Linked DNA regions of Rattus norvegicus. The protein of the gene in region 1 binds, or shares a complex with, the protein of each later gene. Links are inferred from orthologs where the notes say so. Each region holds a gene or a part of one and is shown in the gene's direction. Other genes may lie near its edges.

Evidence for each region.
Region 2: Dis3l (region 1) and Exosc10 share a complex: the UniProt entries of both Homo sapiens proteins name them as parts of the RNA exosome complex. The link is inferred for Rattus norvegicus from reciprocal best matches to the Homo sapiens genes DIS3L and EXOSC10.

Annotation. Positions count from the first base shown.
Region 1 is NC_086026.1:73,731,683-73,737,820, reverse strand, and holds the start of Dis3l (DIS3-like exonuclease 1), read left to right. Parts: upstream 1-2,293; 5' UTR 2,294-2,408; coding exon 2,409-2,547; intron 2,548-3,055; exon of another isoform or gene 3,056-3,247; intron 3,248-3,961; coding exon 3,962-4,115; intron 4,116-6,138. UniProt on the Homo sapiens protein: Catalytic component of the RNA exosome complex which has 3'->5' exoribonuclease activity and participates in a multitude of cellular RNA processing and degradation events.
Region 2 is NC_086023.1:164,275,957-164,282,309, forward strand, and holds the start of Exosc10 (exosome complex component 10), read left to right. Parts: upstream 1-2,483; 5' UTR 2,484-2,522; coding exon 2,523-2,633; intron 2,634-3,628; coding exon 3,629-3,765; intron 3,766-4,841; coding exon 4,842-4,965; intron 4,966-5,960; coding exon 5,961-6,065; intron 6,066-6,186; coding exon 6,187-6,352; intron 6,353-6,353. Other genes in the region: serine/threonine-protein kinase mTOR, read left to right, coding at 626-641. UniProt on the Homo sapiens protein: Catalytic component of the RNA exosome complex which has 3'->5' exoribonuclease activity and participates in a multitude of cellular RNA processing and degradation events.

The DNA of each region.
Region 1 (6,138 bases):
AACCTTGAACTCAAGATCTGCCTACCTCAGCCTCCCAAGTGCTGGGATTAAAGGCATATGCCATCACCACCTGCCCAAAACTCATATTTAAGTTTCATATTTCTGTAACATAAACTAGTTTATTCTGCCTGATAGGCACTCTTCTGGTCCAGAGGTCTCAGATGGCCAATGAGACAAACCACCGAAACAACCAAGCAAAAGGCTCTGGTCCATTACACATCATTTCTAAGAACTAATCATGTTTCTCAACATAATGTATAAAGCCAGGCCTGGGCACATGGAATCCCAGCAGTTGAGAGATGGAGGGAGGAGGAGTAAGGAAAGAGATCGAGGCTATTGGCTACGTATCATGACCCTGTCTCCAAAAGACTTGAGAGAGAAAAGAGAGGGTGTAAGGAAGAGAGCTGTGGATATGGCTAAGGATATGGCTCAGTACTTACCCTGGAATGCACAAAGCCCTGAGTTCCATCCCCAGGTACCTGCAATCCCAAGACCTAGCTACAGGCAGAAGGATCAGAAGTTTAACTACATGGCAAATTTGAACCCAACCTGGGTAGCTGACACCATAAGTAATTAATTTGAGGGAGTGGGTGGGGGGAAAAAGCAATTAATTTGTATGTTATTGCCCCAACACAAACCAAGGAGATGTGCAATGGACATTGGACTACTGTAATTATTCTCTGAGATAGCATCTCATGCATCCAGGCTGGTCTCCAATTTACTGTATAGCTAAGAACAGCCTCGAACTTCTGATCATCTTGTTCCTACATCCCCAAGTGATGGGATTATAGGCCTGTGTGCCTCCTGGGGGTAGGGCGGTGCTCAGCAAAGAACCTCGTGCTTGCTAGGCAAGCCCTCTGCCAACTAAGCTCCAGCCTTGTTTTAAACACTGATAAAAATCAACTCTGCATAAAACCCTAGGTATGCTGTTCCTTAAAGGGTGGTTCATTTGCGGACAATTTCGAGCTACAAAGTGCTGAAGAGAGATATTAAAGGCAGATTAGTACCTAATCGAAGTCATTCCTCCAACCCCATAGCACCAGTGGCTTTAAAAAGATAGCAAGGGAACTGGGGAGGGACTGGTGGACAGTTATCTAAAGCATTTTTTTATGTAGAGAACAATTTTGGCTACTCAGTGTCGTCTGGTCTCTCTGGAACTGACTCCTGTGTTAGACAGGAAGGGCCTCTTTCTTTGTGGAGAACGTTAGGAACCCTCCTTGCACTGTCGCCTGTGCGCCAGTTCTACATTATTTTCCCATTTGTACAAGTTTACCTTGAGTTTCACCGAGTGATTTGACACAAAGGTACAAGGAGGAGGGGACCGTGACTCTTTATGCATTCCCTGAGGGTGAAATGAGAGGCTGGTCCTGGTTTATTTCAGCTGTACTGGAAGAGCCATGTGTTTCCAGTCAACTGGGTCAGACACATTAACCAAAGGTTGCCAAGCAGTAAATTCCTTAGGTGCAGGCCCTGTGTTTTACTCACCATCGAATAGATGATGCTTAACCCGCTTTGAAGTTGAGCAGTTTCTAGCTTGAACATTGGTTCTGAAACTTAATAACTAGGTATCCTTGGACACTTAAGCTCCTTTAATGCAGCCTCACATACGGTGAAATGAGGATTAAAAATACACGCCCACTCCTTTGATTTAAGGAAGCTAAATGAGACTCTCCTGTATGAAGTTGCTAATGTAGCTCCAGTGGGCCCAGTGCTTGGAGAATCGAGGCTGTCTGGTCTCCCAAGATACTGTCCTTTTTGTCAAACACTACAAGCACAGTACTTAGTGATCATATCAATAGCAGTTTTAAGAATTCCTTTGCCAGAGGCTGCCAGCGCTATAAAAGTTATACAGTGTTTACCCCAAAGGACTGGTTTTCATTTTATCTGTAGTGTTTGAATATTTACATGCATTAAAATTTAAAATAAGCATATTTTGAAGGGGAAAACCAGGTTTGGCTAGCAGGGTTACCAGTATTTTTTTGCTGAGCCTTTCAATTCTTTCAGATATTGCAAAAATAAGGATGAAAAAACTCAATAGTTATTACCTCTGTTAATATGGCAAGCCCTTCCCACACCGGCCTGTGGGTAGAAAGAAAGTAAAAATAATCTTTTCACAAGGGAACTTTAGACTAGCTGCCACAGACTACCGTCTTACCCGCTGATTCTTTGGGTAAACAGTTTATCTACACTTTTCCCGCCCCGGGGCAACTAAGGCAAAGAGAGGAGTCAAAGGTGCAGGCAGGGCTGGGCCAGGCGTTTCCTCAGTGTAGGCTAGGTCGTTCCCGGTAGCGGGAACCCAAAAGCCGCCGCCTGCCCGGCCAGGCCGGAGGGGCGGGCCCCAGGCCTCGGCCTCGCCTCCACCTGCCGCCCGCCGCTTCCCGGCCACTGTGCCGGGCGACGCCGCCAGCATGCTGCAGAAGCGGGAGAAGGTGCTGCTGCTGAGGACCTTCCAGGGCCGGACGCTGAGGATCGTGCGCGAACACTATCTGCGGCCCAGCGTACCTTGCAACAGCCCCCTGTGCCCGCAACCTGCCACCTGCCGCAACGGTCAGGGCCGGGATGGACCGGGAAGGCCGGGGCGGGAAGAGCAAGGGAGGCCGGGGTCGGAGGAGAGAGGGAGGGTCGGAGGAGAGAGGGAGGCCCGGATCCGAGAGGGAGGCCGGCGCCAGAGGAGCGAGGGAGGGAGGCTGGGACCGGAGAGGGAAGCTGGGGCTCGAAGAGCGAGGGAAGCCGGGACCAAAGGAACAAGGGAGGCTGGGGCCTGACGTAGCGAGGGCGGCTGGGCGCGAGTAAAGGGAGCTGAGGCCTGAGGAGCGAGGGTGGCCGGGCCCTAGTGAAGGAAGCCGGACCCAACGAGACCGGAGAGCCGCAGCTTGTGGAGCAAGGGCGGCTTTGGGCTGGCGTCAAGGGCGGAGCCAGACCCTCGCGGACCGTAGGCAGCCGAAGCGAGCAAAGCAGTCTGGGCAGCCCAGGAGACGCCCTGGAGCGTCCGCAGTGCGTCCGGTCGTCCTTCCTAGTGATCGGAAGCAGACAGCACCGGCCTGCAGCTTCAGGGGCGCTCCTCTCAGGACCAGCCCACTGTAATGGCCGGGTCAAATGGGAGGCCCGAGAGCCTGCAGGCACCGGATGCTTCGGTTTTTCCTGGGGACCTGAGGGCGTAGGCACCTTCTTTCTCCCAAAAGTAGCTACTGGCATTGCTCCTGAGCTCACTGCTGGACTTTTGGCATTGCCTGCTCTGCTCCTACCAGTACGCAGACTCTCCAGCATGACAGCCTCTTTATCTTAGGACTAGGGACTTAGGCTGGGGAATGCTGGGAGCTAGACTTTCCCCGATTTTCAGGCAGCATGTTGCTGTTTGTTACCCCCGGGGAGATGAACCTGAGGAGGTCTTTTCAGAATACATAATCGAGGTCGCAGCTTGACCAAGCAGGTGTCAGTTGAGTGGAAACCCTGCCGCTGCCCATGGATTGTATAGCACAGCCTTTCTAGTATGTTTCTCTTTCAATCCTAGAACAGTGTAGCCATGTTCAGAAGCTTCAAACAGAACATCCTTGGAATTTTTAGGTACATACAAGTGATTAACACACACACACACACACACACACACACACACACACACACACACACACACATGTGCACTCTTGCTGTGACGGCTTAGTAGAAATTTAGCTTCTTCCAAGGATGTACTTGTTTTTAAAATATCAGTCATCCTCTTAAAGAAGTACTGGCAACAGCATAAACCATGTTGGGCTTGTATTTAATCACAGCTGAGGGGAGGGGGAAGCAATGAATCTGAACTTTGAGCCTCTACCAAACTAGATTTGTCTTGTCTTTTAAAAACTTCAAGGTGAAATTAAGATGAGAAGTTATTTTGCACACCGGGAGCACTGCGACATTGAAATAGTCATAAACCAGGTTTGAAAATGTTACCTAATCGCTTCCACTCTGAATTATGTTTCAGATGGGAAGCTCTTGTCTGCTGAAGTGACTCATTATGTGATCCCAGACTGGAAAGTTGTCCAGGATTACCTTGAGGTCCTGGAGTTCCCTGAGTTGAAGGGAATTATTTTCATGCAAACGGCTTGTCAAGCTGTGCAGCATCAGAGAGGCCGGAGGTATTTGTTTTGCATTATTTATTTATTTATTTATAGTACAGGTTCCCCAGCCCCCTTTAGAAAAGGTCCTTTGTTAGAGGGAAAGAGGAGGAATTCATTATTTTGACAGAAAGGATTTTTGAAACTAATTTGGTATTCTCTTTGCTGGTGAGGAATGCAGTAACATTTTATATGTGTGCTTCAACACCTGGCCAAAAGATCTGGCTGTAGATCAATAAACTGCAGTATCCCCAGGATGGACATAGTTAGGATTCTATGGTGAATTGGCATCTGGTTTACATTTTTACGGGTGGCACAATCTTGTCTTCTTTTTAATTTTGCCAATGATGTATATTATTTAATATTATTCATAGGTAGATTGTTTCAGGAGCATTCCTTTCTTTGGAAAAGAATACATTTAAGTCTTATCTTCCTCTATTGTAGATGCAAACTGTACTTCCAGTGATTTATTCAACGAAATTAAAAAATAGCTCATTCTGATTTTTAGATTAGTCCTGTAACTATCAGCCACAGTAATTGTATTTGCGGAACAAAACATTTCTAATTGGACCAGTTTAAAATACTTGCCTTGTACCTAAGTGAAAGAGGTATTACCCCTTTTTGTGAAAATGCCCTAAAATACAGTTTGGCTTCATTTAATATTTGGAAACTTTTACGATCTGAACTTTTATGATCCGACTCTGAGAATAGCACGTTAGAATTATATTCCCAAACCCTCAGCACCCCAAGTTATTTAACAAGCAGAAACTGTATTTATTCTGTTTTTTAAGATGTTTTGGTTTCTTCAGACTTTGGTAGTAAAAGATAAAAGTTTTCTTTATTTGTGTATGAAAATGATAAATTGTCCTTATGCTCAGTTCAGAAAAAATATACATTAGCTAGAATGTACATGGTTTTTTTTTTCAAATTGAATATTTTAAAATAAGCTTGAAGTTGGTTTTATTTAGACACAGACATATAGACGTTTACACACAGCCAGGTTTAAACACTGCTGCAGGTGTCATATTTCAATTTCTTTTGCTAAAATCAATTTGTTGTTACCGTTCGGCTCACTCATGCACCGCAATCCGCTTCAACCTCTGTTTTCTAAAACGTTTTTAATATTAGGATTGTTTTGAAAACCAATTCCTGGGACAACCGAAAGCAAAGAGTTGGAATTTAAATGTCCTTTCTCCTGAATGTTTTAGTAGTTAAGTTGATGAAGAGCTCCCAGCATTGGGTTTTGTTTTGCTTTACCCTGTGTCTTAGGATTCTATAGGAGAAAGCAAAGGGTGGAAAACCGGCAAGTAGGCCCCACCCTCCTGATATTTCATTAAAAGGAGCACTTGGTCAGCTTGCACTGTCAGTGGCTTTAAGGTAAACCAAGTGCCAGGATATAGGCTTACTCAAATGGCAACAGTACCAGCCCTGTTTCTAGCAGGAAATGGGTCTCCTTATACCCAAGAGCCAGGCATAATTGTAATCCCAACATTGTTAAGTAGAAGGTTCAGTTCTATGTTAGTCTCTGTTGTTCGGAAAGCTTAAAGCCAGTACAGACTAAATGAGACTCTGTCTGCACAAACAAACACGCATAATTGTATTGGTGTTTAGCTATAAATCTATTTATAGCCTTTTTAAGTACTTAATAAGCTTTAAAAGCAAATTAAACCCCTAAATTTAATAAACAGCATAGTATTGTAAAATTGTAAATGTATTACCATAGTCCCTTGGTTTATTAAAGGAATTGGTTCTGGGACCCTAAGACTACCACAGTCTGCAACTGTTCAGGTTACAGACATAAAATGGCCATGGGAGAGCTGAAGAGGTGGTCCTACAGTTCAGACCATTTGTCGCTCTTGCAGAGGACCCAGGTCTGATCCCCTCAACAACAAGGTGGTTCACAGCCATCTAAAACTCCAGTTCCAGGGGATCCAATGCCCTCCCTCTTCTGACAGCTATGAGCACCAACCATTTTCATGCTATACATGCATATGTTCAGCAAAATAGTCAGATATAAAATCAATAAGTCTAATTTAAACTTTTA
Region 2 (6,353 bases), on another chromosome or scaffold:
CAAAGAAGCCTCATTGGCCAAGTGTGGTGGCACATGCCCTTACTCCCCAGCACTGGGGATGCAGAGGCAGGCAAGTCTCTAGTAAGTTTCAGGACAGCCAAGTTATAGTAGTGAAACCATGTCTCTAAATAAGCCTGCAGTAAGGACACACTTTAAGCCTCAAACCCACATATGAGAAGATGATTTGGTGGAGTGATCATAGAGAACATTCTTTATGGGCTCCATGCCTCTTAAGTTCACAGGTTCTGAGAATGCTCCTTGCTTGCGGGAAACAGAGATGTAATCTCATTTGGAAGTTACAGCTGCTTTGAGAGCTTTGGTTTAGAATGGGCAGAGTGCATTACTTGTCTGGTGCTTTTGGAATTTTGTTGTCGCTCCAGAGATCTGAAGGGCACAGGAAAAGTCAAAGAAATGCTAGAGAGAAAAAGTGAAGAAAAAGATTGATAATCCTGGAGACTCTAGGCAGGCATTTGAGAGGGGCAGAGGAATCTCTGGGACCTCAGGGCCATTAGCCCTCTACTAGAGGTGTTGACTGAGTCCCATAGGGCTCAAACCTGCTCTCTGTGCTTGGGTAAAGCTTGGAAGAGCTCTGACTGACCATGCCTTTTTCTGCCCACCTTCCTAGGTGTCCTTTCTGGTAACCAAGGCCTGGCAAAGAAAATCATCTCCTCCGATGCTTTTGTACCTTGGTCTGTGCTTCCAGTGGACTGAAACCATGGTCATAAAGTTGGACTTTGTTAATATTTTGAAATGTATATGAAAAGAACTACTGTATATTCAAAGTTGGCTTATGCCAACCTCCTAGCTGCTGTTGAAAAGACACTGTCAGAAACACAAGGCTTGATTCAGTTCCCAGGACAGTGAAACACAGTAATCCTACAGAAACCAAGCCTTTGATTTTGGGAGAACAGAAGATGAGTAACTGACTAAGAAATACGGGTTTTGACTTAACTTACAGAAGAACTCATCATACGCATTTGCTGACCGAATAATCTAGTTGATCCTCTCAACCAGGGGCTTCAACAGCAAGGACACAGATGTCAGCACTCCACCATCCTGTTACCTCACCCGTCCCTGGATGCAGTGGCAACATCTGCAGGATGGGCCACCGTGTGTGTAAGAAGATCTGTCTTCCACCTGATCCCATGATGCTGAACCTCACAGAGCCGGCCTTCCAGGAAGGACGTTTGCTCAGACGCCTGGCCACCGAGGATGAGCAGGTGTGCCAGGATCTCAGTGCAGGGTCCACGCTGGCCCTGCTGCTGTGTTCAGTGAGGGATGGATATGTTGTGTTTGCAGCAGGGACTCAGAACACAAATGCTTTTGTGGAAGTGCTGATCTCAGAGGGACACTAGCGCAGGTTGTGAATTAAGAGCAAAGTAAATATCCAACTAAACACAAAGTATAAGTGAAGCCACATCTAGACACCATTGTATCTGAGTAATTTTTGTGCCAATAAATGACATCAGAATTTTAAAAGTATTTATGTGTATGGCTTTCTGTTCATTATTTTGCAAATTCTCTTATTGGGCTTTGGCTTAAACTCAGTGGTAAGCCACTGACTAATGGGGACAGGAACCTACACCATTACATTCCATCACTAGACAGGCCAAGACAGAAACAGGCAAACAAGGATCTCTTGAGATTCTGGACTACACAGAAAAACCCTGTCCTTTTTGTTGTTGTTGGTGGTGGTGGTGGGTTTTTTTTACACTCCAGATTTTATTTCCCTCCCAGTCCACCCTCCGACTGTTCCATATCCCAAACCTACTTCCACCCAATCCCCCGACCACGAGGCTGTCCCCACCCCACCCAACCTCTAAACTCCCTGGGGCCTCCAGTCTCTTGAAGGTTAGCTGTATCTTCTTTTGAACCCAGACCCAGCAGGTCTCTGCTGTATATGTGCTGGGATCCTCAAAAAACAGCAAGTGTTCTTTTTTTTTTTTTTTTATTCATTTATTATATATAAGTATACTGTAGCTGTCTTCAGATACACCAGAAGAGAGCATCGGATCTCTTTACAGATGGTTGTGAGCCACCATGTGGTTGCTAGGAATTGAACTCAGGACCTCTGGAAGAGTAGTCGGGTGCTCTTAACCACTGAGCCATCTCTCCAGCCCAGCAAGTGTTCTTAACTGCTTCAAAGCCTCTCTTCTCTCCCTTTCCCAATATTTTAAACAAACTGGGAAAAATCCAATCCTTGAGTAAACGGTTTTGCACGCCTTTAACCCCAGCACTTGGGAGGCTGGATGCAGGCGGGTCCGGGGTGAAGATCTAGCTTTAAATGTAATTTCAATTGTATCCTCCCTCCAGTCCTCACCCTAGCCCACAGGTTTGTTAGGATACAACGTAAAATTAAAGAAAAGCCTAAATCTCCCCATCGTTGGCCAAGTCGTGTAACAAGTTACACTACTTACTTGGTGTGGGGCGGGGTAGTGGTATTGAGCCGCGCGCATGCGCGTTACGCTCTTCTCCGGTCCGCCGGAACAATCTCGCGAGAAGAGCCGCCCTAGGACGGAAAAATGGCGCCTCCCAGTCCCCGGGAGCATCAGTCCGCGCCAGCGACCGGTGCGACCAAGCCTGACGCGGAGATGGTACTGCCTGGCTTCCCGGATGCAGACAGCTTCGTAAAGGTCAGTTCGCGGGCTCTGGGGCACCGCTGTTTTAGCCGGAAGCGGGTCTGGGGCTGCGGGCTTCTGGCGCCTGTCACGGCGGCCTGACGGCGCGCACGGAGAACGGCAGCGAAGGGCTCCGCGCTTCCGGTGTGAGCGCGAGCGGCTTCGCGTAGAAAGCTGTGTCCGCGCCTTCGGAAGGGCGTCCGTCATCCACGTGGCGCACCCTGCGCTACCTCTCCTGAGGAGCCCAACAGCTGAGCGACTCTCCCGCCCATTGCTCACCCCGCTGATGCACAAACGTCTATTGCCCCAATCTCTTGGGTTGAATGTCACAGCGACCATCGAGCCCCTCTCTAAATGCCAAAGCGCACTCACCAGTACCTCTTGAGAAGGAAGATAGAGTTTTTATTTAAATTCTTTGTTCACAAAATTCACGATGCTGTCATGAGACGTTAACACCTCCCTTACGCTGGGATCCCCAACCATGAGATTATTTTCATTGATGGCCTTGCTGTGGCAGTCTATGTAGACATTAACTTTAAAATAAATCGCGATCCTCTTGGTTAAAATATATTTTTTCTTTGCTAATTCGTAACTAATTTTGCTACCGTTATGAATTGTAATGTAAACAGGCAGGGTATCTGAAATGGGACCCAAGGGTTGAGAGCCACTGCCTTAAAATAAGCACCCACTCTTTATCAATGACAGCCACTTGTGATTGTTTCCCATTCATTACCTGCCTCACAACAGTCTACCTAAACCACTGGTTATAAAATGGTCACCTGAGTCGGGTGGTGGTACACAAATCCAGCCCTTGGGAGGCAGAGGCAGGTGGATCTCTGTATGTTTGAGCCCAGCCTAACCCAGGTCCTGTACAAGAAGTGCTAAGCACTCTTAACGCTGATCGGTCTCTCCAGCTCCCTGGGATATATAGCTTTAAAATCTTGTGGGTTTTTTATTCCTGAGTAAACAGGAATCCGTGTGTAAGATGCATCTTTTTCTCTGATTTTCAGTTTGCACTTGGGTCGGTAGTGGCCGTTACCAAGGCATCTGGGGGCCTGCCACAGGTCGGTGACGAGTATGACTTTTACCGAAGTTTTCCTGCCTTCCAGGCATTTTGTGAGACACAAGGAGACAGGTTGCTTCAGTGGTGAGTTTATTACGTTGATTGAAAGAAATAAAAGATTGTCCTGAGAGTGGCATACCTCAGTTGTCGGGAGATAATGAACGTGATTGGGTTCCTGAGTCTGAACTCCAGTACTAGCCATCACCAAAGAAACGCTGCCTAAATGCCATTAACCAGAGGGACATAGGATAATTGTGTGGTCTGTGGCTGTTGGGGAAGAATAGCGGCTCAGTGTGGAGCCCGGACTAGCCTGGAACTTGCTATGTAGACCAAGCTAGCCTTGAAATCTTAGAGATCAACCTTCCTCTGAACTCACTTCCCCTGAGTGCTAAAATGAAAATGTCAGCCATCACAGCCAGCATGATCTATGATCTTTAAAAATAGGGGGTTGGGGATTTAGCTCAGTGGCAGAGCGCTTGCCTAGCAAGCACAAGGCCCTGGGTTCGGTTCCCAGCTCCGAAAAAAAGAAAAGAAAAAAAAGAAAAATAAGAGGGCCGACAAGATGATTCCGTGGGTAAAAGGCATCTAATGCCAAGCCTGACAGCCTGAGTTCAACCCCTGAGACTCTCGGATGGAGAAAGAGCTCACTCCTGCAGACTATCCTCTGGCCTTAACACATGGGCGGGGGAACTCACACACACACAATATCTGTTTATGTCAAAAGTCTTTTGCTGCGTGTGGTGGCTCATACCTTTAATCCCAGCCTTAGGGAGACAGAGGCAGGTAGATCTCTGAGTTAAGGCTGGTGTGGTCTGTATAGTGAGTAGAGCAGCCAAGGCTACACATTTCTCATCTGATAATTGTTGGGGGAGATCACCGTGAAGTTATTTTGCTGAGAATAGGCCTAACTCACCAAATTACACAGGTGTCTTCAAACTCACTGTGGCCTGAGCCTTCTAGGAAGCCGGTGTCACAAGCCTACACCATCAGGCCTGGCTTGGGGTCCTGTGTTTAAAGGTTGTTGTGAAGATGTACATTGGGTTAATTTTATCCAGGGTGCCGGGAACCCTGTGATCCAAGCCATTTGAGGAGTTTTCTCAGACTGTAGGTTGGTAGAACAAAGGTGCACGTGCTGACCTTGGTTTTCCTCGATTCCTTAGCATGAGTCGGGTGATGCAGTACCATGGGTGTCGCAGCAACATCAAAGACCGAAGCAAAGTCACTGAGTTGGAGGACAAGTTCGATTTACTCGTCGACACCAACGACGTGATATTGGAGAGAGTGGTGAGTGCCTCCCATCCACAGAAGTAAGCTCTCAGATAGAAGGCTCAGATATCAGTGGAAGGAGAAACCCCAGCTCTATGGAAAGTGAAATAAATGTAGCCAGTCCTAATGGCCGTACCTGTGCCTCGCACTAGGGAAGCAAAAGCAGGCGGGTCTCTGAGTTCCAGGCCAGCCTGTTCTACACAGCAAGACCTCTCCAATAGATGGATGGGTTGGTGGATAGATAGATAGATAGATAGATAGATAGATAGATAGATAGATGGATGGAATTGTATGTATAGGCACGTGCCATGAATGCCGGTGTCCGTGGAGACCAGTGGTCTTGGAGCCCACTGGAGCTTGGGTAGAACACCAGTCCTCTGCAAGAGCCATGGTGCTCTCTCCAGCCCCCACCCATGCTCTTCAAAAATAGTTATGTTTTTGGCTCTAGAAGATGGCTCAGCAGTTAAGAGCACTTTCTGCTCTTCTAGAGGACCCAGGTTCCATTCCCAGCACCCATGTGGCAGCTCACAACCATCTGTAAGTCCTCCATGGGATCTAACATCCTCACACAGACATACATGCAAGCAAAGCACCAATACACACAGAATAAGATAGATAAATCACTTACAAAAATGTCAAGTTTAAACCGGCCATTAAAATTCTGAATGCGTACAGTATATAAATAATATTTTGATACATTTATCTATTCTTTTTAATTTACTCATTTATATTTTATGTGCATTGGTGTTTTGCCTGCGTGTGCGTGTGTCTGAGGGTGTCTCCTAGAACTGGAATTACAGACAGTTGTGAGCCACCATGTGGATGCTGGGAATTGAACTCAGGACCTCTGGAAGAGCAGCCAGTGCTCTTAACCACTGAGCCATCTCTCCAGCCCTTACCTCCTCTTTCATGTGTGTATAAACCACATAATTCTGTGAATGCATTTCTTAAAAATGTCAGGTAGGTAAGCCTGTCAAAGTCACATCCTAACCCAGTGCCTTGTCTCCTCATAGGGTATATTACTGGATGAAGCTTCAGGTGTCAACAAGCATCAGCAGCCTGTCCTCCCTGCGGGGCTGCAGGTCCCCAAAACGATAGTGTCGAGCTGGAACCGGAAGGTGAGCCCCGCTCACAAGCACACGCACACCAATGTTCTTGTCTCCAGAAGATGAGCTGGAGTCTCGTTCCCTACTTCATCCAGTGGCTTTGTCTCAGTTGGTTCCTACGTGTTGTCCACAGGCAGGAGAATATGGCAAAAAAGCAAAGGCGGAGACTTTCCGACTGCTACATGCAAAAAACATCCTCCGGCCTCAGCTCAGGTTTCGAGAGAAGATCGACAATTCCAACACGCCATTTCTCCCAAAGATCTTTGTTAAACCCAATGCTCGGAAGCCACTCCCTCAGGG